Yarrowia lipolytica: one gene and its partners. The protein of the gene in region 2 interacts with the protein of the main gene of each other region in a biochemical or structural test. Links are inferred from orthologs where the notes say so. Each region holds a gene or a part of one and is shown on either strand. Other genes may lie near its edges. The genes, in order: YALI1_E10161g, YALI1_D33696g and YALI1_F04848g.

What was found.
Region 1: of the proteins of YALI1_D33696g (region 2) and YALI1_E10161g, one has a biochemical effect on the other in vitro, tested with the Saccharomyces cerevisiae proteins (2 studies listed by BioGRID). The link is inferred for Yarrowia lipolytica from reciprocal best matches to the Saccharomyces cerevisiae genes ATG1 and ATG2.
Region 3: the proteins of YALI1_D33696g (region 2) and YALI1_F04848g form a complex in vitro, tested with the Saccharomyces cerevisiae proteins (6 studies listed by BioGRID, with this or other methods). The link is inferred for Yarrowia lipolytica from reciprocal best matches to the Saccharomyces cerevisiae genes ATG1 and ATG13.

Annotation. Positions count from the first base shown.
Region 1 is NC_090774.1:1,013,047-1,021,922, reverse strand, and holds YALI1_E10161g (uncharacterized protein), read right to left. Parts: upstream 5,777-8,876; coding exon 3,770-5,776; intron 3,719-3,769; coding exon 1,148-3,718; downstream 1-1,147. Other genes in the region: YALI1_E10210g (uncharacterized protein), read right to left, coding at 1-860; YALI1_E10148g (uncharacterized protein), read right to left, coding at 6,758-6,906, 6,952-7,078; YALI1_E10140g (uncharacterized protein), read right to left, coding at 7,592-7,827, 7,875-7,893; YALI1_E10134g (uncharacterized protein), read left to right, coding at 8,544-8,876. UniProt on the Saccharomyces cerevisiae protein: Lipid transfer protein required for autophagosome completion and peroxisome degradation. Tethers the edge of the isolation membrane (IM) to the endoplasmic reticulum (ER) and mediates direct lipid transfer from ER to IM for IM expansion.
Region 2 is NC_090773.1:3,366,245-3,372,589, forward strand, and holds YALI1_D33696g (uncharacterized protein), read right to left. Parts: upstream 3,346-6,345; coding exon 1,213-3,345; downstream 1-1,212. UniProt on the Saccharomyces cerevisiae protein: Serine/threonine protein kinase involved in the cytoplasm to vacuole transport (Cvt) and found to be essential in autophagy, where it is required for the formation of autophagosomes.
Region 3 is NC_090775.1:481,466-487,861, reverse strand, and holds YALI1_F04848g (uncharacterized protein), read left to right. Parts: upstream 1-3,013; coding exon 3,014-5,161; downstream 5,162-6,396. Other genes in the region: YALI1_F04895g (uncharacterized protein), read left to right, coding at 1-405; YALI1_F04860g (uncharacterized protein), read right to left, coding at 1,503-1,688, 1,739-1,765; YALI1_F04855g (uncharacterized protein), read right to left, coding at 1,926-2,168, 2,224-2,322; YALI1_F04849g (uncharacterized protein), read right to left, coding at 2,634-2,844, 2,890-2,951; YALI1_F04818g (uncharacterized protein), read left to right, coding at 5,969-6,396. UniProt on the Saccharomyces cerevisiae protein: Activates the ATG1 kinase in a nutritional condition dependent manner through the TOR pathway, leading to autophagy. Required for autophosphorylation of ATG1 at 'Thr-226' and its dimerization. May also be involved in the regulation of autophagy through SNF1.

The DNA of each region.
Region 1 (8,876 bases), on a different chromosome or scaffold from region 2:
GTTACAGTCTCACGATCGAGGGTGACCATTCTGGGAGGCAGATTCTCCCGCTCAATCGAGTGCTCCAGAAAGTCATACACGTCGTCAGACACAATGAGCATGTCGTACTTTCGAGCGAGTTCCAGCAGCTTGACTCTGTCCTCCAGAGGGATGATTGCACTTCCGGGGTTACTGAATGTGGGCACAAAGTAGAAGACAAACTTGTAAATCTTCTTGGTGGGTCGCGATTCGTCTCCCACAACGTCCAGAGGTGACTTTTCGTGTTCATGGCCCTCCTCGGAAGAGTACTTCTCCAGATCCGCTTCCAGTTTGGTCAGATCCAGGCGTCCGAAATCCTCTCGAATTGCGGTCAGTTTGCCCTTGAACCCACAATCAATGAAAACCGAATTGATGAGGTAGTAGCACGGCGAAACAATGAATGCCCGTCGAGTGTAACCAGTCTGGGGAAGAGTGCAAGACTGCAGAATATCTGCAAAACCAAAAGAAGCGCCACAGGTGAGATTAATGCAATTGGCAGCAATCGGAGTCTTTTCCAGCAGCTCCCGCTCCGTGACCCACTTGGCGATCAGCTGCCGGACGTACAAAGCACCCTGATCAGGCCCATAGGTAAGGGGATGTCGGTTTTCGTCGTCGTCGTCTTCCGGGCGGTCACGTGACAGCAATGACGCGGCGGCGGCCAACACTTCCTTTTCCGGAAATAAGTCGTCGCTGGGGTGGCCTTTGAACAGGTTGATCATCTTGTCGTATTTCGTGTGGTGATGTGTCAGAAGAGATAAGATGTGGAGTGCATGATTTGGTGCACATTTGAGTTTCCGGACAAGGCTGTCGGCGGGGATAGATGGATTAATACTAACGACCATAGAAAGTGTTTTAGTAGAGCGATGGAAATGATTGTTGTATGAATCTAGAGTTACAGGCCCTAATATTTGATCAACGAAGAATCTGGAACGTATTCACCGCTCCAACCTCCTCAATTACACTTGTCCATCGACTAATAATTCCTGATTGGAAAGTGGGGGAAGCTTGTTTTGACGTCATCAGCCACGCCTAAGAACGATCGTCAGCTGTGTATAATACACTGTACTGTACTACGATTGTAGTAGTACTGTACTCGGAAGATAATAAGCCGATGCATTCCTCCTATATACTAGTTTGCCTCCTTATACTTATCGCGGGCAAGCTCTCGACCACTGGGATCCATCTCATTGGCCACTCCAAACAGCGTCTTGGAAACTGCCTCCGTAGTTCCGATTATAGGACGGATCAAAGCCACGGGGGCAGCCTTGACCACTGCGTAGGCGGCTGCTCCGGCCGTATCTGCCTCAGATATGTCTTCACTCAGATTGTGAATGGCGGTCTTGGCCACATTCATATGCTTGCCGAACGAAGAGTATGCATCCTGAAGACCAGCATACACACCCAAGGGCTGATTGGCATATAGAGAAATAAGCTTGTTGTTGGAGTCGGAGTAGCCCATGTAAGTGTAGTACTTGGTTGTGGACTCGAGATCCGAGTCGTCCAAATCACGAGACTCGCCCGCTCGTTCTGTACTCACCACACCCTCCAGTAAATTCTGCGTACCAACCGCCAATTTTGCTCCAAACCGTACCAGCTCGTTGGTGGTCGTCTTGGCAAATGCATATGCTCCTTGGTTGAGTGAACGAACCACCCGTCCATCCTTCTTGTACTCTCGAACAGGTACAACAATGAGGTTGCGGATTCCACCTCCGAGGTTCACAAGGGGACGAACAGGAGCCACACCGGCCAGAACTCCTGGTAATTGCGTTCGTCGTACGTCTGGCATCCAGATATCGTTCAGCTTCTGGCCAAGATCAGCAAACCCGGTGATACCACGCAGCTTGATGCGCCGAAGCACCATGTCCGACTCGTCCAGGATGAAAAAGTTCATAAGCTCGGTCGACTTGCCGGACTTGAGACCCGAATAATCCACTTTCTTAGGTTTGTAGTCGAGCTTGACAGGCACATCACGAATATCAAACTTTTGAATGAACGTTTCATCTGGGGGAGCAGTGGTACGCACATCCTTGAAGTTGAAGAACCGGGTCAAAAAGTCAAGCGTGTCCTGATCCACATGGAGCCGGAGAGGCAAAATGGTCACGTGACAAATCACCTCTTGGGAAGACAGTGTAGAAACAGGTTTCACGTTTTGCATGGTGATGTGAGCCATGACTGCGCCTGCTTCTCGTTCTCCACGTGATCGCATGTACGTCAGGAATTTGTTCCACGTAGACGTTGGCACATGGTCAATGATTTCCACGTCCTTGATTTTAACATCCAGAGAGTTGAGAACCTGGCCAGGAGGAAGATCGGGGTCTTCAAGACCAGCATAGACAGTAAGAAGACATGCAATTCCTTGGAGCCAGACCTGGACTAGGGGATTGCTTGACCGAGAAAGAAGTCCACGTCGCGATTTATTGGCCTCCTTCGGTTTGGCTGGCTCAGTCTGTTCCCCGACAACATCATCCAGATCGTCTTCGTCCTTTGCCTGAATGTAGATTGAGTTGAAGAGTAGGTCGGTGGTCATTACGGGTGGCTCTTCTACCACTGGACGCTCCTTCATGCGTTTTTTGAGGCCGTCGACAGCTCCATTGATTTCATTTCGTGTGTACTGCCAGTCGTAACCGTCATGAAAGTTGCAGACAATGTTGTGAATCAAGTCAATGTTGATAACCACCGTGGGCGGTGTGAGTAGCTCATTTGAAGAAGCTAGATCATGAGAAGATGCACGAGGACGGCTCATGACGGGCATGTCTTCCTCCTCTTTATCGAAATAATCCTCTTCAAAGCAGATCTCCTCGAACCGGACTCTCTCCCTCTTCACCAGACTATCCAGATCGGAATCAAGGAGGAAATCAGCATGAGTGTAGCTTTCAGCCATCTTTTGACGTCCACTCTTTCGACTCTGACTCGGCTTGTCACCCCCATAATAACTCTCTACAAAAGACATGTTGTTGGGAACATCGTCTGACACCATATCAATGTCGTCATTGTCAGAGGAACAAGACGATTCACACGCGTCTTTGTTTTTCGCCTTGAAGAAGCAGTCATCCACGTCTTGGAATGTGTTGAGAAACGGGTCCAGAGTCTCCAGCTGGAACTTGGCACCGCTCAATTCAACAGCCGGCTTCAGACTGTTGATCAGATGGATAAGAGTCTGTGTAGAATCTGCGCAAGTGCTCAGTGTGACTGTATCTCCATTGATATTGATGCAGGTGGGGTTACCAGGCGAAGTAGAAATGGAGATAGACGTAGCAGTCAAGCTAGCAACAGAGGTGTACTGTTCGAGGTAGGAAGACATAAGATCCGTAGGATTAGGTGTAACCAGTGATGCATCATCAATCAAAAGAAGAGATGCTGATCCAATGAAAGACGTCATGGAGAAAGTGGGTGATGGTTTGATTTCACATGTCACATGCTTGACAATGAACTGGGCTGAGGAAGATGAGTTTGTAGGATTCAGTCCAACAGCGCAGTTGTGAATCTGCAAAGGAATTCTTTTAGGAGGTGATTCCGAGCCAGAGGAGGACTCACGTGAACTCGAGTCTGGTGAAGATGACTCTTGCAACTCAGCTGCCTTGGTGTCATCACCTTTACCTCCAAATAGCTCCAGTAGCTCAGTGTAAAACTCAAGTGCACAGTTCTTCACCGTAATGAGCTGAATCTGACCGCTGGAGAGCTCCACCACAACATTACTTTCCTGTGTTAGTATATGTAAAATGTCAATACTCCATCACGCATTGATACTCACTCTTTTAAGCGGATGCAAAAGCCACTTCTTTGATAATCCCAGATCGCTCAAATCTCTTCCGATTTCGACGGTGGAGATCTCAATCCTGTCAGTAGGTCCAGTAACAGAAATCCCACCTAGAACTACCTCAATGACCCCGACTTTTCCACCTAGATCAACCTTTCCTTTCACCCTCGCCACATTGATGACTAGAGAGGAGGCATTCACAGGCTCCTCGACGATCCGAAGCAGCTTGGGGGGTGCGGTCTGTACTGATGCGGGAACTGGTCGGTTCTTTGCACTGTTCATCGCATCGATGATAGGTAGAAGTAGCTGGTGGAGCTCCTCAACGATCGGCAGACCAATATCAAAATCCACCTTGTCAACCGACACGATAGAATTCTCAAACGAAATTCCCTTGACATGAACATCGCCGAACGAAACACGTGATAGTGACATCTGGCCGTTAGATAGTCGAATAGGCAAAATGTACAGCTTGTGTCCGGCGACGTCGAAATCAAAAGTGTTTGTTTGAACAGTAGTCTTCGATGCGCCGGCCCTTTCACTACATTCAGTCATAGTTGCCGCCTTCTGCTGCTTGGACTCAATTAACGACAAGAGATAAGTAATCAAGCTAACCACGTCGATGAGATCAGGGATGGTAAACACGCCAACAGCCTTCTTGGGTAGAACCAACGTGAAAGAAGCCGAAGAGGCTTTGAGGAGAATATCGGAATCTCGTGGTGTGGGTTCCTCATCGTCTGTGTTCTTCTCGTCGCTTTCGAAGCCAAACACTCGAGTAGAGCCCCTCTTCACCTCACAAACACCAATCTGGAGCTTGTGGAAAGCTCCAGACGATCCAGAAATATCGGAGAGAGAGAAAAGCAGATTTGTGTCAATGTTCTTAAACTCCCAGTCGTCACCCAACTGGCAAATCGATGCCGAAATCGACTTGATGCTCATATTCAAGTCCATAGCAGTCCCCTCTTTTGTTTCTGAATCACGAGACTTCTTACCACCACTTCCACCATTTCCCACCTTAACCAATGATAGAATCACAGTCGGCAACAGGTCGAGACTGGCTCTGACAATACCGACCTCACAACTGACTCTCATTTCCTCTCCTAGGAAAACCAGAACGTCAATAGTGTCGACGTAAAACACCCCAAAGAGTGGATCAGACTCAAATCCGAGATTGGCAGACTCGGCTATCGCACTCATGTAAATGCTGCTGGCCTCCTCATGCGAAAAAATGGTTGATTGAAGGAGAGACTTCTTTGCATTTGAGAACGGGTCTGTGTCTGAATCTGAATCTGATTCTGAGGTGAACCCTGTTGTTGCATGTGCTGTGGATCCTGCTGTTACCGGGCCGCTTGTGCCTCGAGCCTTCTTGTCCATTACCTTCATCTTGACTCCCCTCACTTCCAGGGCCATCTCCTGTCCTCCTTGTGGTCTCAGTCTGACCTCGTCCACAACTAGATCCATTTTGTCGTCTGCAGCCACAAATAGCGTCACGTGCACGTTTGTGACATCCACTGTCAGTTGACTTAGCACTGTCTGTGTCACCTTTTTGACTAGTGCCTCACTGATTCCTGACCCGCCCATGCCCAGCAGTGGTGGCTCTTCTGCTGGATCGATCTGTAGTGACGCGGACAGGTCTTCCGACAGGATCGATGCCGCCAGATCAGCCGTCGTCCTTTCCAGAAACTCCTCCACGTGCTCGGTGGCGGTCTCCACGTCCATCTGTTTCATGGATGCCGTGATATGCACGCCATCGATCTTGACGGCAATTCCCGCGCCCCCCAAAAGCCGCATCTCCACCGACACCTCGTCGATCTTTCCAGAGCGCATGTACATGCCTGCTGGAAGACTGACACGGTCGGGATCGAGTTTGACGTTAGTTAGCGCCGCCTTCTGCGCCGTCCCTAGCGAAATGTCCATATTGTCGAGCTCCAGGTCCGAAAACAGCGCCAGGCGGTTCAGCACGTAGTGAAACGCCCGCTTCTGCACGTTGGGGATCCAGTTCATGTGTTGAAGCGGTGTATTAGATGCGGGAAGTGTTGTTGTGTGTTGTGTGTCAGGTTATGAAGGTGGTGTTTTCGGAGGGGTCTGCAGCTGTGCCATGATGCACTATCATGTGGGTCAAAGTTTAATTACCGTCCAGGCAACGATAAGGTGAGATGTAACTATCTTTGTTGGGAGTGTAGGGAGTGTAGAGGGCGGGCCAAGTGGGGAAGAACGGGAGACCTTAGCGAGACCGTAAATGCATAGAGAGAAGGGGAAACGACTTACTAACTACATTCAACTACTTCCAGAACTATCCCTTTCTCATTGATAGCCTCCAAGAGTCCCTGCTATCTCCCCTGAGTACCCAGTCAGATGACGATTATTAGGTCTGAGTTTCATACCAAATAGAGCTAATCTTGCATATCTTGTTGGAGTGGTTGGAGTAGTAGTTCTGTAATTCTGTATCTCCAAGTTCTGTAGTTACTGTACAGTACTTGGAGATAGAGGTGTGACATAGGGTGATAAAAGGGAAGTTGGATCTCGTGAGGGATTTGTAGCTTGCAGTATTTGTGCTTGTAGTGTGTTGTGCTTGCGGTCTCGCTCCCTTGGTTAGGGCTCTCTTGATTAGCAAGAGGTCCGGATGAAAGCACTGCTTGGAGGTACGGTATCTTGTATCTCCAAAGTATATCTATCAAAGAAAGGATGCTGAACTGAGCAAGTCTAGATTATATGTCGTTACTGATGACTGTAACATATCTTGATTGATGTAACATGTCCTTTTCCCTGACCCAAGAGCGAACCATCATGATCTGTAGACATGTAAACATCTTCCCTTAGGGACTCGACTATTACCAGATAAAGAGTTCCAATTCAACTATTCCAATAATTGGAACAGATAAAGGGGATACTGTTGCAGTTCAATCTGTAGTGTAACGAGAAGTCATGTTCTTCCTCGAGACGAATATGGGTGTAATGGATATAAGATACGGCAAGTTGGTAGTGTTATCTCAGCGTGAGGTTCATTAACAATGTTCTAAATCGAAGTCGTGTACAAGTACAAGTACAGTACTTATAATCCTTCAATATTTCAACCCTGTACTGCCCTGGTACTTGTAAACAACTCTCGGCGGTATAGTACTTGTAGGCAGAGGCTAGTCTCTCGAGAAAGCACTGATTATTTTGTTACGCGACTGTACTGGAACTTGATAGGAGGGTTTCGAGTAGTAAGTACTGTTCGGTAATGTGTAGTAGATGATGAACCTCTACTGATTGTAGTACCATACCCCTACCAGCATCAGTCAAATGTGCCTCAAGAGTTCTCATTCCTCTCCGCTTTCAGCTGTCGAAAAGCAATTTCTGAAAGCGAACTTCACTTCACCCGTCCAAAGAGACAGTCGCATATCACCATTGCCCTGAAACAAGTGCATGTGACCTTGGTCCAGCCCCGGAGAAGTTTTAATCAAAAAGCCATTCGCAACTCCTGACATAGGCAGCAACACGCAACTCAGCGTGGAACGTCTGCCTACATTTCCCCAGACTAATGTCGGCAAAACCTGCTTTCCACAAGAGTCGCAACCCATGTGAGCGCTTTAGTTGCAGGCTAGACTCGAATAATCTGGAGACATTCCAGAGAGCAGACCCGGCAGCAATGCAGACATACGACAGGGGTCTCAACTGCTGAAGTGCACCTGCTGTGTTCGACCCTTCGTGATGGCCCAGTATCCATTTTATCACCATACATCACTCAGGTTCAACTCCTTAAACCCAATCGACCTCGGACTGTACTGTACCCCACGGCAACTGCGAGTACAAGTAGCGTGCAACCTGCCACCCGCACTAGTGAGTAACCTCGGGGAAATGTTCCGCCACAAAAGGTGAGTTTTCGGGCGTCTTCAGACGTATCAAATTGTCAAATACGAGTTGCGCTAAGCAGGGGTACTGTACCCGCGGGAGGTAATTCCGTTTTGATAAGGGCACATGGGAACATACCAGAGTAGTCCATGGTTCTGAAGTCAGAGATCGGCCACTGTAGCAGCATGCCTGGTCCTTATCACTAGTCAGCGATTTTCTTACTCAGAAGAAGCCCGAGTTCGTTGCGCTCTTTTCGATACCGAATCACCACCGTTATATAAGTGCATTGCCGCGGAGAAGTGCCAAAGAGAAGATGGTGCCACTTGCTAAGTCTGGATGTTTTACTGTGCTAACAAAAGAGCCTCCAACTAGAGTCGTTAAATTAGAGTTCCGTTAATTTCAGCAGTTTTGAGGGAGGTTGAAAAAGGGGTGGTAGAGGCGGTAAAACTCGCTGAAAACTTGTCAATACATCTGGAAAGCAGCAGAGAATGGCAATTCAAAAAATATCAGGTCCAACTGGCCTATAGCGCCCACTACAGCGGTTCCCTCCCCAACCCGCATGGCATAAAGTTTAGATTGTTGAGTTTATGGACTACCACTTTTTATCGCACATACTTTTGCACGATACGAGCAGTCCATAATTCCGAGACATATAAACCAGAAGAAGGTCAGAAAAGATCATAGATTTTGCTTCTTTTCGTCAGAAACATAAAAACCCGCAAAACTCGTACGCAAAACGGCCGGTTCAGCACAGATTAAGACCAACTCAAAGCTGTCGTGATCGTACGTGCATCGTCCGATCTCAACCCTTACCCTACCGAGCCTCGCAACTCAAAACGCCACACTACATTACTGAAGAAAAAAAAACCCCAGGACATTAGAATCCAGTGCTCCCAACGGCAGTATTATTTTTCCTCTAGAACCACCTCGACACCTTATGACTGAACCCAACACCTCGTCGACCCTGTCTCTGCCATACACCAGAGGTTATGACCGGGTGATCATCGACTCCAAGGATCTGGCCCAGACAGGCAGGGTCTCCGACAATGACCTGCTTTTAGCGCTGTCTCATACCATGAACCGTTCTGTCGACAATATCAAACACAGACTGGACTATCTGAGCGGGTTGGACGAATCTCAAATCAAGCGAATACGACACGCACGGTACCCAAGCACGATTGATTGGGAGTCGCTATTCACCTTTCTCTCAGACAGAAACTGGAGCGCTCTACGGGCTTCTTCCAACTCCAGAGATAATGTGTGGGCCAAG
Region 2 (6,345 bases):
CTGTTTGGGGTACCAACCAAAAGAGTTGGTTTTGTTAGGGTATAGTTGAGGAATGAATAACCGGAGGTGGAAATTCGAACAGCAACACTTTCACGTGCTTGGATTGTGGGAGCAGGCATGTTCAGCAGTGGTATGACGGTTTTGCCATGTTGATTCTGAGAGAAGATGTGGGTTATACTATTCTGAATTGTTTCAGGAATGGAATTATCTTCTCGAACCGAAATCCATGAGACTATACTTGGGTTAACTAGACTCTCAACTATATAATTGTAGTTCAACTAGCATGAAGCCTCATAACAAACCAGAAAGATTTCATCTGATCTGAAATCCCGAATACTTCACCGACCAAAATAATCCAAGTTTAATCGGTGAAATACATGTCCACAAAAGCTCATGTTTACACAAACCACCTTCTCACTTGTGCAACTCTCGACTTACATTTTATGTTGAAGGGGGTGGAGAATACATGTCGTTCTAGACTGATGGATATATATCGGAATAAAACAAATACAACGGGAATCAAATAATTGCGTCAAGAGAATCAATTCCGTATAATTAGTTTATTGCCAACTCCTATCCATCATATCCTGATTCCCGTCTCAAATCCCAATATAAGCAGAATGAGGATGCCACATGTCCGTAAATCAAAAATAAATAAATAAAATAATAAATATAAAAAAATATAAATAAATATAAATAAAATATGAATTAAATATGAATAAATATGAATAAATATGAATAAATATGAATAAATAAAATGTAAATTAAATGTAAAAAAATGTAAATAAATGTAAATAAATGTAAATAAATGAAATAAATAAAAAATAAAAAAAAAAAAATAAATCAAAAATCAAAAATAAATCAAAAATCAAAAATCAAAAAGAAATTTCAACGGGTATTTGATAGTCAAGATTCTTCAAAAAGAAAAAAAGAAAAACATGACCAACAACTTCCACCATACAAGAGTTTTAATTTGGCCTCACCAAAGCAGTTTTCTGGCAATCTCAAAACATCAAATCAGCCCACCTCCTGCTCCATACGTCCGAATATGTCAACTCAAATCTGTTAGTCACTATAAATATACCTATGTTAGTTTGTCGTGTTGCCGTTGCCGGCGCTGTTGCTACCACTGTCGGCGCTGCTACCATTGTCGTCTCTGTCACCACTGACGTCACTGCTACCAATGTCTTCGCAGCCCCCACATAGAACTAATTACTCCTGCTGACCCCTCAGTATCACCAACCGTTTAGTAATACTACTAATGAACCGCTCCACAATTCTGCGATCCTCCTCGCCAAGTCCATCTTCGTCATCCTCCAGAAGCGCCTCCAGCATCCAAATGGACGTGGTGTAGGCCGACTCGCAGCCAGTGAAGTCGCCGGAGATCTCCTGAACAGCTGCGTCCCGTGACATTTCCAGGGCGCGGTCGAAAATCAACTTTTCGGCCGTGGTGTGTGTAGTTCCTGAGGAGACCTTCTTTTTCACCGTTTCGGCCCGCTCCAGTGACTCGTTGAAAGCGCTTCGGGTCCACTGAATGATTTCATTGAAGTGGGAAGACACCATCTTGTTGTCTTTGTGGTTATTGGACCACCAGGCTCCGGCTTGATCCATAGCGAGCGACAGCAGAGACAGTGTCTTGACGTACAAGAGCATGGCTTCTTCTGCAATGGAGGAAGAGACGGAGTCAGGCAGATTCATGTCTGGGTTGTCCACGTCGTCCTGGATCTGTGAATACTTGACATCTGCCAGGAGAGCAATTGAGCGGGCTTTGGCTGCGATTTCCTCGAGAGTTTCGACAATCTCGCGCTCCGACAGAGATAGGGTTGTTGTGGCAGGAACAGGAGGCGATTTGCCGGTCGTAGAGGTTCCAGAACTAGTTCCAGAAAGAGCTGCCCCTGCTGACAGCCTGGCGCAGTTTCCGGAACCATTTCCAGAACCATTTCTAGAACCATTTCCAGAACCGTGTCCAGCACCGTTCTTCTTCTCTCCCAAAAGTCTGGCGGACGCCATGGATAAGGCTCGAGCCATGGCTCCAGTGGGGGCTCCGTAAGTCAATGAGAAGCGCCGCTCGGAACTGGGACGTCTCTCGTCTGGCTCGCGTGCCAGCTCATCGGCCAAAGTGTTGACTTCAACCTGCCTCTTCTCCACGACAACGTATTCACTTTCAAGGAAGAGTGACTCGTTTTTGCGCGTGAGTAGAAGAGAAGATCCGGGAGAGGGGGAGGTGAGTTCCAAGAGAGGGTTCTTCACGGTAGAAGACAGTGTCTTATTAGTGGAGTTTTTGGGGGAGGATTTCTGAGTTGACCGCTTCTGGCTGAAGCTGTCCATCTCCCTGTCCAGGTCCAACTTAGGAAGATCGGCCTCCTGAATGTACTCGGAAATGTACATTCTGGGATCCAGCTGAGATCGGTCCAATTCCTCCCCGGAGCCAATAACCTGCTTGTTGGCAATAATGGGATGTTCAAAGTACTCCTTGAAGCCGATTCTATCGGCGGGATTCTTCTTGAGCAAACATCGCACGAAATCTTGCATGTCTTCCGAGGGCGGTTCTCGGCCAAATCCGATCACGTCGTTGGACTGCTCGATTGTCTTCAAGAGTTCCACGTAGTTATTGGCCTTGAACGGCGGCTTGCCAACCACCATCTCATAGGTGACGGCTCCAACCGACCACAAATCGGCCTTGGCATTGTACTTTTCGTAGCGCAAAATCTCCGGAGCCATGTAGAGGGGGGAACCGCAGAGGGTCTCCGCCAACGCCGACGCCGGCAAAATGCGCGCAAATCCAAAGTCGGCAATCTTGAGAATCGGCAGCTCCCATCGTCCGTAGAGATTGGCGTTTTGGGCATCCATTTCGGAAAGCGAGGGCGGGCACAAAAGCAGATTCTGGGGCTTGATGTCTCGATGAACGAGGTTCTTTTGTCGCAGAAACTCCAGGGCCGCTGAAAGCTGATGAACGAAGTGCCGAACCAGCTCCTCATGGAGCCCTCTGGTGTTGGATGGATACCGTCTCAACAAGGACGCCACTAGCGGCAACGTTTCCGACAGCTCCTTCTTTTTCTTGAGAAAGAAACTGAGGTCGCCCAGAGAGCAGTACTCCATCACTAGGTGGAAATGCGTGGGGGTCTCCTGGAAGTCGAGCAGTTCCACCACGTGGGGGTGCTTCATCTGCTTCAAAATGCTGATTTCCGAGCCCAGGTTTTCCAACAACTTGCGGTTGAGCTTAGCCCGGAGAACGGACTTGATGGCCACCGGAGAGCCGCTGGCCACGTGCTCGCCTTTGTAGACGGTGGCGAACGAGCCGCGGCCTAGCTCGTTGCCAATAGTGTATGATTTGATGCTGGACATTGAAAGTCTGAGTGAGGGCGAACGGCTGTAGTCTGTAGACTGTCTGATATACTCTGTGAGACTGTCTGCTGTTGTCTGACTCTGCTGTGCCTGTGAGACTTTCTGTTGTAGTCTGTGTGACGGTCTCTTGTAGTCAGACTCTGTTGTCTACTGTCAACTGTACGTCGAATGTGGTGATCTCGACACTGTTGAAGTAGTGTCTAAGCGGACCAAAATGCTTTCCAAACCGCTGTCTCCAAACTGTCTCCAAACTGCTGTCTCCAAACTCGTCTGTAAACGTGTCCACTAGATGTCGAAATGTCTAGTGTGCAACTCGTGCTCGTGCTCGTGCTCGTGCTCGTGCTTGTGCTCGTAAAATCGTATGTGGGCTTGTAGTGTGTACAAGTACCAGTCTGGTAGGGTCTGAGAAGAGAGAGCGCTAACGTTAGATAACCGCTATCGGAGATAGAGTTTGAGTGAACGTAGCCAACTCCCATGTAACCGCAACCAGAATTGTGGTTATAAGGAGCCCAGCAGCCAGACAAGACGTTTGTGTGCAGTAAACGCCTGGCTGCTCCACGGTCGGTCATCCGCCGGTCGCCGCGGTCCCCCTAAACCACATATCGCCAGCTCCAGATGGACAAACACACTGCATATATGACGCAGGGGCACGTGACTTGCCACGAGAGCAGGAGGAGAAGAAGGAGGGGATAGAGAGGGATAGAGAGAGGCGCTATCCAACCCGGTAGACGTGGGCTCTCAAGTGACCTGGGGGGTTGTTGCTTAGTCATCGCAAATGTAGGGACGGAGCTGTCTTCAGTTATTTGTAGTCACCTGTTTTGAAGCCCCTTTGCTAATTATTTTTGGTGGCAAACGCGCGCCCTGCAGCTGGGGTTAGGGTTTGGTTAAATGGGCTGGCTTGTGGTGAAGTCGTTGGGAGAGTTGGAGCCAAAAAATTAAAAATGATATAAAAAGGTAGAGAATAATATATTATAATAATAATTAAATTAATTTAAAAGATATATAATAATAATAATTAATTTAATTTAAAAAGATTATAATAATAATAAAAAATTGAACAAAAAATCAAACAAAAAATTATCCACAGGGGGTGCTTTGGCTGGAACGAACCGTGAGGCGAAAACAGCAGCAAACAACAGCTCCGTGGCTAAACTGGGCTTGTAAACTTGATTGTTCTATTGAGAAGGGTATTAAGAAGCAGCATATGTTTATTCAATACTCATCATACTCACAAAAGGCATTACTTTACACAGCTACCACTCACGTTAGTGTGAGGTCTTCACTATCTAATGCCCTCTACGGAATTATATTCAACATAGATTGGCTTGTAGGCTTGATCGTTCAACTGTCTCTGAGTATTTTTCCGGAAGGTTTTTGTTTTTTTTAATTTTTTTTCTAATTCATTTATCATCCAAGTAATGACGAAACACTGCTTAGATGTCCACCAAGTATATCAACAATTGGTTCGAAGAAGAAAATGTCTCAAGAGCCATCTACAAGGTATTTGTTTGAAGCTGAGAAAAGTCCAAAATGTTTAATGAGACAATTTACGACACAGAAGCTCTTCTGAGGCATACAGAAAGGGTCATGGTGTTTGCATTGTACTGTTTATAATGACTGTGATGAACTTGTACATACTGTCCTGTTCGTATCGACTGTAATTAACTTGAGTTCATCCATCAGGCGATGCAGATATTCTAGCGGCAGTTGGAACTGATCCGAAGATTCACAAAGAAGTAACTGAGATGGCTCATGGCGCTTGTTACCACATCTGCAAAGGCACCTTGGACATGATCTCGTGAGTCTCGGTGACGGGCTCGGTGTCGATGTTCTCATGCTGCGGAGGGGCAAAGATGTCAATCTCCTGGTGCAGGATATAGGCTAGAATCTTCCGTTTGAAGTTCTTTATTTCCTCGTTTGTCAGCGTTTCCGACTTGGCAATCACGGGGATCAGGTTCACCTTCTTGTGCAGCTTCTTCTTGACGGTGATGTCCAGGGGCTTGAGCGAGTAGCCCGTGGGCTGGATGAAGAGGAGCAGGCGTGGATCCGCGTGTCGTTGATGGACGTTCAGTTCACCCGTCCAGGCAGTTTTCGAACCGCTTGTCAATGTAATTCACAATCGTTTTCCACGAGTCGCTGTTGTTGACAGACACAGCCAGGACGTCATCATCAATCTTGTCTAGACGGCAAACGGGAGATTGAACCTCCCTACACAACTCCATGTGCCACAAAACCGCCGTGTTTCGGAGTAGGACAACGTCGAAGCTGAGTGCAGCTCTACAAAAAGGCATTCTCCAAGATGTTGCCCGGAAGAAAGACGACTGGGGCGTTGGTGGGCCCTAGCGATGGCGCTTACTCAGAACCCCGATAAGTAGTCTTGAGATTTACCTACATGACAAGTTCCGAGAATAGTTGACATTTGGATAGTTCATACTAGAAAACTTGACGTTTGGAGACTTGACACTTGGATACTTGACACTTGGAGACTTGACACTTGGAGACTTGATACTTGGAGACTCGACACTTGGGGGACCGACAGGGTTGCCGAAATTCCAATCCTTGAGCAATCTCAATCGAGATTCTCTAGGAAGGATGATTGTGATACTACGCCTTTACTGTCTGTCAGATATTGCGTCTACCACCAGTACCCAGCACTGAAGCAATGCAACTAATCTCAGTTGGTTCGGCAGACGTGAGATTTCTCCGCCATCATGTCCAACATGGACTCCTCCAATGGCCTGGTGCGAGGCTTGGATTTTTATCGATACCAGAGCTGTATTCACTGAGTGCAGAAACGACAACAAAAGCCCTGCCAACCAGGAGTTGGACCTAACAATGTTGGTCTGGTTCTTCACATAAAGACATAAAGTCTCCTTCTCGAGTTCATTCGGTCTCATGGCTCAAGAGATGCACAGAGCTGAGGAGTATCGAACATAAGTACGAGGCGACAGAGAGGAGACGGTTGGGAAATAAAAGGAAGACGTTTATGACCTTATTAAC
Region 3 (6,396 bases), on a different chromosome or scaffold from region 2:
TCTGAGGACGGCGACGAGGACGAGTACCAGATTGAGAACCTGGTGCTGGGTGCTGGCGACTACCTCGAGGGTGGCTTCATCGGCTCGTTTGACCACCTGTGGGACGAGCTGGCCAACACCGAGGCGGTTGACACTGCCACTCTGTCCGAATACAAGGGTCTGGAGGAAGCTGTCCAGTTTCTCATTTCACAGCTGTCTCTCACTCCTCTGGAGTCGTCTGATGAGGTCACCTCGGCTTCCACACATACTCTGAAGCTGTTTGGAAAGACTCTGACTGGCGAGAAGGTGATTGTGCAGATCAAGATGGCCGCCTCGCAGCGAACAGGAGTTGTGGTGCAGTGCAAGGCTAGATCGGGTGATGAGGAAGTGGCCGAGTTGGTTGCTGGATTTGTGGGCTCGTTGTAAGTGCGTCTTTGTTAATGAGCGAACAGGCCAGATAAGTGGCCTTTGGTTAGTAAGATATATAGTGAAGGATTATTGCAAGTTTGGTGTAGTAGGTGTGATTGGGCTCTGTGGATGATGATGGCTAGAACGTCCACGTGAAGGGCTGAGGAGCATGCTTTAGGAGGATGATTCAGCTAGGGAACCTGCTCAAAAGGATGATTCATTGTTTCTATCCAATTCAAGTCCATTTCAACTGATTCTATCACGATTCAAGTTGTTTTTATCACGATTTAATGTGATTCTGTAATGTCACTCTGATAAGACCAATATTCCGCGAATTGGAGTTGTCCGAGTGAGATGCAGTTGAAAACTATTAGAGGCTTCTGGGCATGACTAGAATCCGATACCACCTTAGTAAAGTGTATTCGACATACTCTTAATCTGTAGTCTCAGGAAGCGAGAACAGTTCAAACTGACTTCAGCTTGTGACACCAATTAACCACATCCACACACAAACACCACGCCGAATTGGAGACAGAACATGATTGCGTCCGCCGCTTTGTTGTGTTTGTGTTGTTGGATTTGGGGCGAGTGATGTGAAGGAAGAAGAGTCGAAAAGCGCGAGGTGGGTGTTAAAGTAGAGTCGCCATAGTGTGGTAATGATGACTGGTCATATATGCATGTTTCCAAGTAAAGTTAAGTAAAAAGGGAGGACATTTTTTTTGCTATTATGGCTACGGAATGGAATTTTTGTATGACAAGAATGATAATTTATTACATGTTTTCATAGTCCTCGTTTCCAGCTACATTTCTATACAACTTTTACTTCTTCACCACCTCTGCAACATTGGATTTGAACCCCCAGTAACTTTTTCCTTTAACAAATTCCCAACTATAACTAATCCAACTAGCCTCGTTAATTGTATGCTTCCATCTCGCTCAATAATACTCGGATTGCCACCACGAGAGTTGCTTTCGCTTCGGAATCGTCCGCTCTCTAAAATGGGCCCTTCTCCGATGTCTGCACATTTTCCCGGGACTATGTGCGCCGTATCGTTTGCTCTCGCGCTCGCATCCGTCGTTTCCCAGCAACGATAAGCCCGATATTAAAAACAGACCTAATCTGATGCGCATAAAATAGACTCTGGGGATCCTGTGACTGGAGTGTCCGGATCAGACGGCAGGAAGATACGTCTTTGGAGATTGCGGAGAGACGTCCAAGTCATGTGACACGCGGAGGGGGGGAGGGGGAGAATTGGGTCACGTGACCGGCCCCATGGTCGCCCTCTTTGCCTTTTTTCTGTCTCTTTTTTTGGTCCTTTTTCCGGCTCACGACACCGTGGCTTTCGGTGACGTAATCAGAGTCTAAAATGCACCTCATGTTCTGATAAAGACTCTGATAGCAGATAATGTAGGCTGTGCGTTTGGGGGGAGACTTGAGGGGTTACCTTATATATGGCTAAAAAAATCGGGGGCAAAAAAGCATTAAAATAATGAAAAAGGGCCTAAAAATATTTTATAAATATTTTTAAAAAAAACCGCTAGTAAATTCGAAACGCCGCTGGTAAATTCGAAACGCCGCTGGTAGATTCGGCTAGGGAAACTCCCCCCGGACATTCTTTTTCTGCCAATTTCCCGCAATTTCCCCTTTCAATCTCGCCATTCCACCTTCCCTTATGAGTCATGTCTGTCACTGGTGCTACAAGTAGTGCAAGTACTGTACGTACATACTGTACATAGATTGTAGTAGGTGGATACCGACAGTGACGGATACTGGGTGGATACTGGGTTGTTGGCGGGAAATGGGTCTGCTGCAATCAAACTGTTTATGAGTCACACATGCTTCTTCGTCTCCCTTTCTCTCTCTCTTTCCCGCTCCAGTCTATACGCCATGTGGGTAAATAACTCGACGCCACCTGCTCCTGTAGCTCCTGTCATACTGCCCCTTATAGAGACGTTGTATCTTAACGTTATCAGAGGTGATTTCTCATGCAAGGGTTTGGTTTGATTACCGGCGCGGGCGGGCGCGAGCTGGGCGGTGGCCACGTTTTGTGTCTGGTTGGCGGGCAGTGGTACCGGGTCAGCAGACGGGTTTGGCAAGTAGCGGCGGTTTGCGGTAGCAGGGAGGCAGTATCACGAGACTGGCTCCGTTCACGTGACAATCCCTCGTAGTGCGTCTGGGCTGCAAGGCCATGTTGATGTGGGCCTGAAAGTAGGTTGACTGGCCAAACCTCCTACTATTATTCTGGTTATTGACTCACTCGGAGCAACTGCCCTGTGACGAGACCGCCGGCCGTTTTTTTCTTCTCTTCTTTGCGAGTGGCACAAACAGACGGACACAAACAGACCGACACACGCCGCTGACACCAGACACACTCTTCTGTGGCGTCACCTCCAGACCGGTGACACACACACAAGCACAACTGCGGACACGAACACGGACACAAACAGCACAAACAGCTCAAACAGCTCAAACAGCTCAAACAGCTCAGCAGAAGAGCTCACCACAAACACCACAAACACCACAAACAGCTCAGCACAAACAACACACCACACCACAAACGCATTCTGGTGTCCAGACAACAGCTGCTAGACACAACAGCACTCACAAGTCGTAGACACAACCAGCATGTCGTTCCAAGGCACGTCGTCCGGGTCGTCGCACTCATCCAAGTCGAAACTCAACCAGGTGGTGCAAAACTTTTTCTCCAAGGCCACCCAGGTGGTGGTGCAGGCGCGTCTCAACCCCCGGCTGCGTGAACAGCGCCAGAGCGGCGACAAACACAAACTCAACAAATGGTTCAATCTCGAAACAGACGAGCTGGAGGCCTACCGTGAAGATCTCAAGCTGTGGCGAACCATCGACATCTACAACATGGACAAGATGCCTCCCGTGGTCGTGGAGACCTATCTGGACATGCGCCATCTTTCGCCCAACCAGACGCTGGTGCTAGAAGACGCCTTTGGCAAACGGTGGAACGCCAGCTTTGGAGGAAGGAAAACAGAGGTGGTGCTGGAGCGGTGGGTCATTGAGATTCAGAGACCCGACCCCCAAGCAGGAGGAGCTACAACGTCCCCAGCGTCGTCCACAGAGCTCCCCATGGCCTACAAAAAGTGCATCTTGCTGTTCCGCTCTCTGTACACTTATTGTAGGCTGCTGCCAGCGTGGACGCTGCAAAAGCGGCTTAGCAAAAGCAAACTGAGCACCAGTCCGCTGCGCATCGGCTGCAGGGTGCTTAACGGCTCACAGCCCATCTCTTCGCGTGGGCGGGTTGGCTTGAGCAAACTCATAGCTGGGAGCTCCGAATCCCAGCATCTCCAGACCTTTTCGTTCGACCCCGTGGAAATCCCCTCGGGCGTCTTCAAGATCAGCGTGAGCTACCGGGTCAACTGCAACTTTGCCGTGGACGACTCGGAGGCCATGCTGTCATCACAGTTCCTGCGCATCGACGAGGAGAAGCCCGTGGTGCCCCCCAGCCCGCCGGTCAAACACCCCTCCATGGCGGCCCCCAACTTGCATTACATCACGGGCCTGCCACGGAGACATTCGCATTCTCAGGGCGTGGGAGTGAGTGGGGCGGCCATTGTTCCCACCTCTGTGTCATCTGTCACAGACTACATGGAGAGGAGAAGGAGCAGTGGCGCTAGTGGAGTTGGAGCAACTGGAGGGGGTCTTGCTGGCACCTCTGGAGGCTCTGGCGGAGTGAGTGGAGGAGTTAGCGGCGGATCTGGAGGCTCAGGGGGCTCTGGTGGCTGGGGAGGTGAAGAGGGCTCGCCTGGTCCCGCAGCGACCTCGGCTAGCCCCTCCACACCTCCCTTTGCGCGTGTCCCCTCATCCTCCTCCCTTGCGGCGCTCCGAATCCCCCGCAGAACTATCTCAAACTCGTCCACGTCCTCCACCAATAACGCACGGGTGGTCACCACGCCTGGGTACACGCCTTCGGCGTACGAACAGGCGATTTCGTCGTCCGGAGGGTCGTCACGTTCCGGGTCCGTGCCCAAGTACTCGTCATCGTTCGGTACAAGACAGTGGAACCGTTCAGGCTCGATCAGCAGCACGCGGCGTCGAAACTCAATGCTGGTGGGCTCGGCTGAGTCGGCCATGTCTTCGGGCTCCTCTCTTATGGAACCTGGATCGGGTTTTATCGACATTGAGGATCCCACCGACGTGTCCGACTTTGTCAAGATGGTGGACTCGATCAAACCCGGGTCCCCGTACTCGCTGCCGTCTCCCCGCAAGGGCAGCGATCCTTTGGCGCGGTTCCAGCAGCTCAAGGGATCGCACGCGGGTATTGCCGACAGCATCACGTCATCAATCTACCACCACCAGCCCAGTCCTCCGTACGTGCGGTCCAAACTGAGCGGCGAGGCGAACCTGGAGGCGATTTCAAGCCTTCCCCGGCCCGTGACGGTGCCTCCATCGCCTCGCAAGCTAGAGACGCAGATGCAGCCCATTTCGCTGGCGGACCAGCATACCAGCGAGTACCATCAGCTGCAGCAGCGGACCAGTGCCCGTCCCCAGGCTCATTCGTACTCTGAGCGTGACCAGCTTGATAACTCTCATTACAAGGCGTTGGAGCGATATGATCTTGTAGGAGCTTCTCCAAGCGTGGTGGGCTCTAGATATTATACCGAGCACGACCGGGGACGAGGCGAGAAGCGATACTCGGTGGCTCCATTGCCGGGTCTAGAGTTTGACGAGGACGATGATTTGTTGTTTGCCATGAGTGATATGGCTATGGGGGATTCGGCTTCTGGAGGAAATGTGAGGACATAGTCTTGTGTTTCCGAGCACACCTCCTAAAAGATGATGGCATACACTACCAGAGTACCAACACCAGCAGAGGACATAACTTATATCAATGACACATACTTATTATATTTATACGATTTACAGAAGGGAGATATGCCACAAGTGTAGGCAGTACATACTGTACTCGTAGGAAGACCTTGAAGGGCACTGACCCCTGAACTAGCAACGACCCATATCGGCACCCATGACTCAAAATGGGTATCATTATTATCCGACTGCGGGGGGCTCTGTACTAATATATGTAACTAGCTGTTTTCTTGTCTACACCATCAGTTGTTGACATTTCTTTATCCTACGTCACGTGAACATATCACCACCACGGAAGGTTTCGGGGCCATATGGGGAAAACGGGACGGCACTTTGTCGTTTCATTGGTACGGATATTTGTTGATATTTTTACATTGAAATACTTTCCCGACTCAGGGCTATCTTTTGGTGTAAAAAGTTGTTTGGTGGCATGTATATTGGGTAAACTGACTTCACCAGTCTCAGAGATGAGTGTAGGTCTGCTTTTTCGATACCAACGAGGAGGGGAATCACGTGAGCAGAGCAGAGCAGCCACCATTTTTACAGTCTTATTCCAGTGCTGCATCACTGTAGACACTCTTTCAGGAGACTCTGATTTTATCTGCTATTTTTCCACATTTTTTCCGATTTTCGGCCGGATATTTCACGCTTCCGATACGCCTGCATTAGGCTGCATGATATCGCAGATTCACACCCCAAGTCACACTACTACTACACTACAATACAACACCCTTTCGTCCAACTATGAGCATAGCCAACACGGTGAGCGTGGACTCGGTATCGCATGCTCTGGCGTGCGAGCTGTCTGCTGACGGGTCGGTTTTGGCGGTGGCTTTTGTGGACAAGTCGGTGCGTCTTTTCATCCGACAGGACGACTTGTGGACCCGGCAGATGACGCTCTTTCACAATGACGGAGCCGTGGAACACATGAGATGGCTAGAGTGGGTTGCGAAGGACGCAAGTCCGACCTTGGCGATTTCGTCAGGCCAGGAGGTGGCCATCTTTGAGCCCTACAACCGGGTTTCTCCCGTGACCAAAATCTCGGCCCCGTTTGTGGTGTGCGGATTCAGCCAATCAGGGGACTATCTCATGGTCTGGGGATGTTCCAACACGATTCTTTTTCAAAAGTGGAAAAACTACGACACGGAAGCAGAGGTAGCCCAAATCCTGGT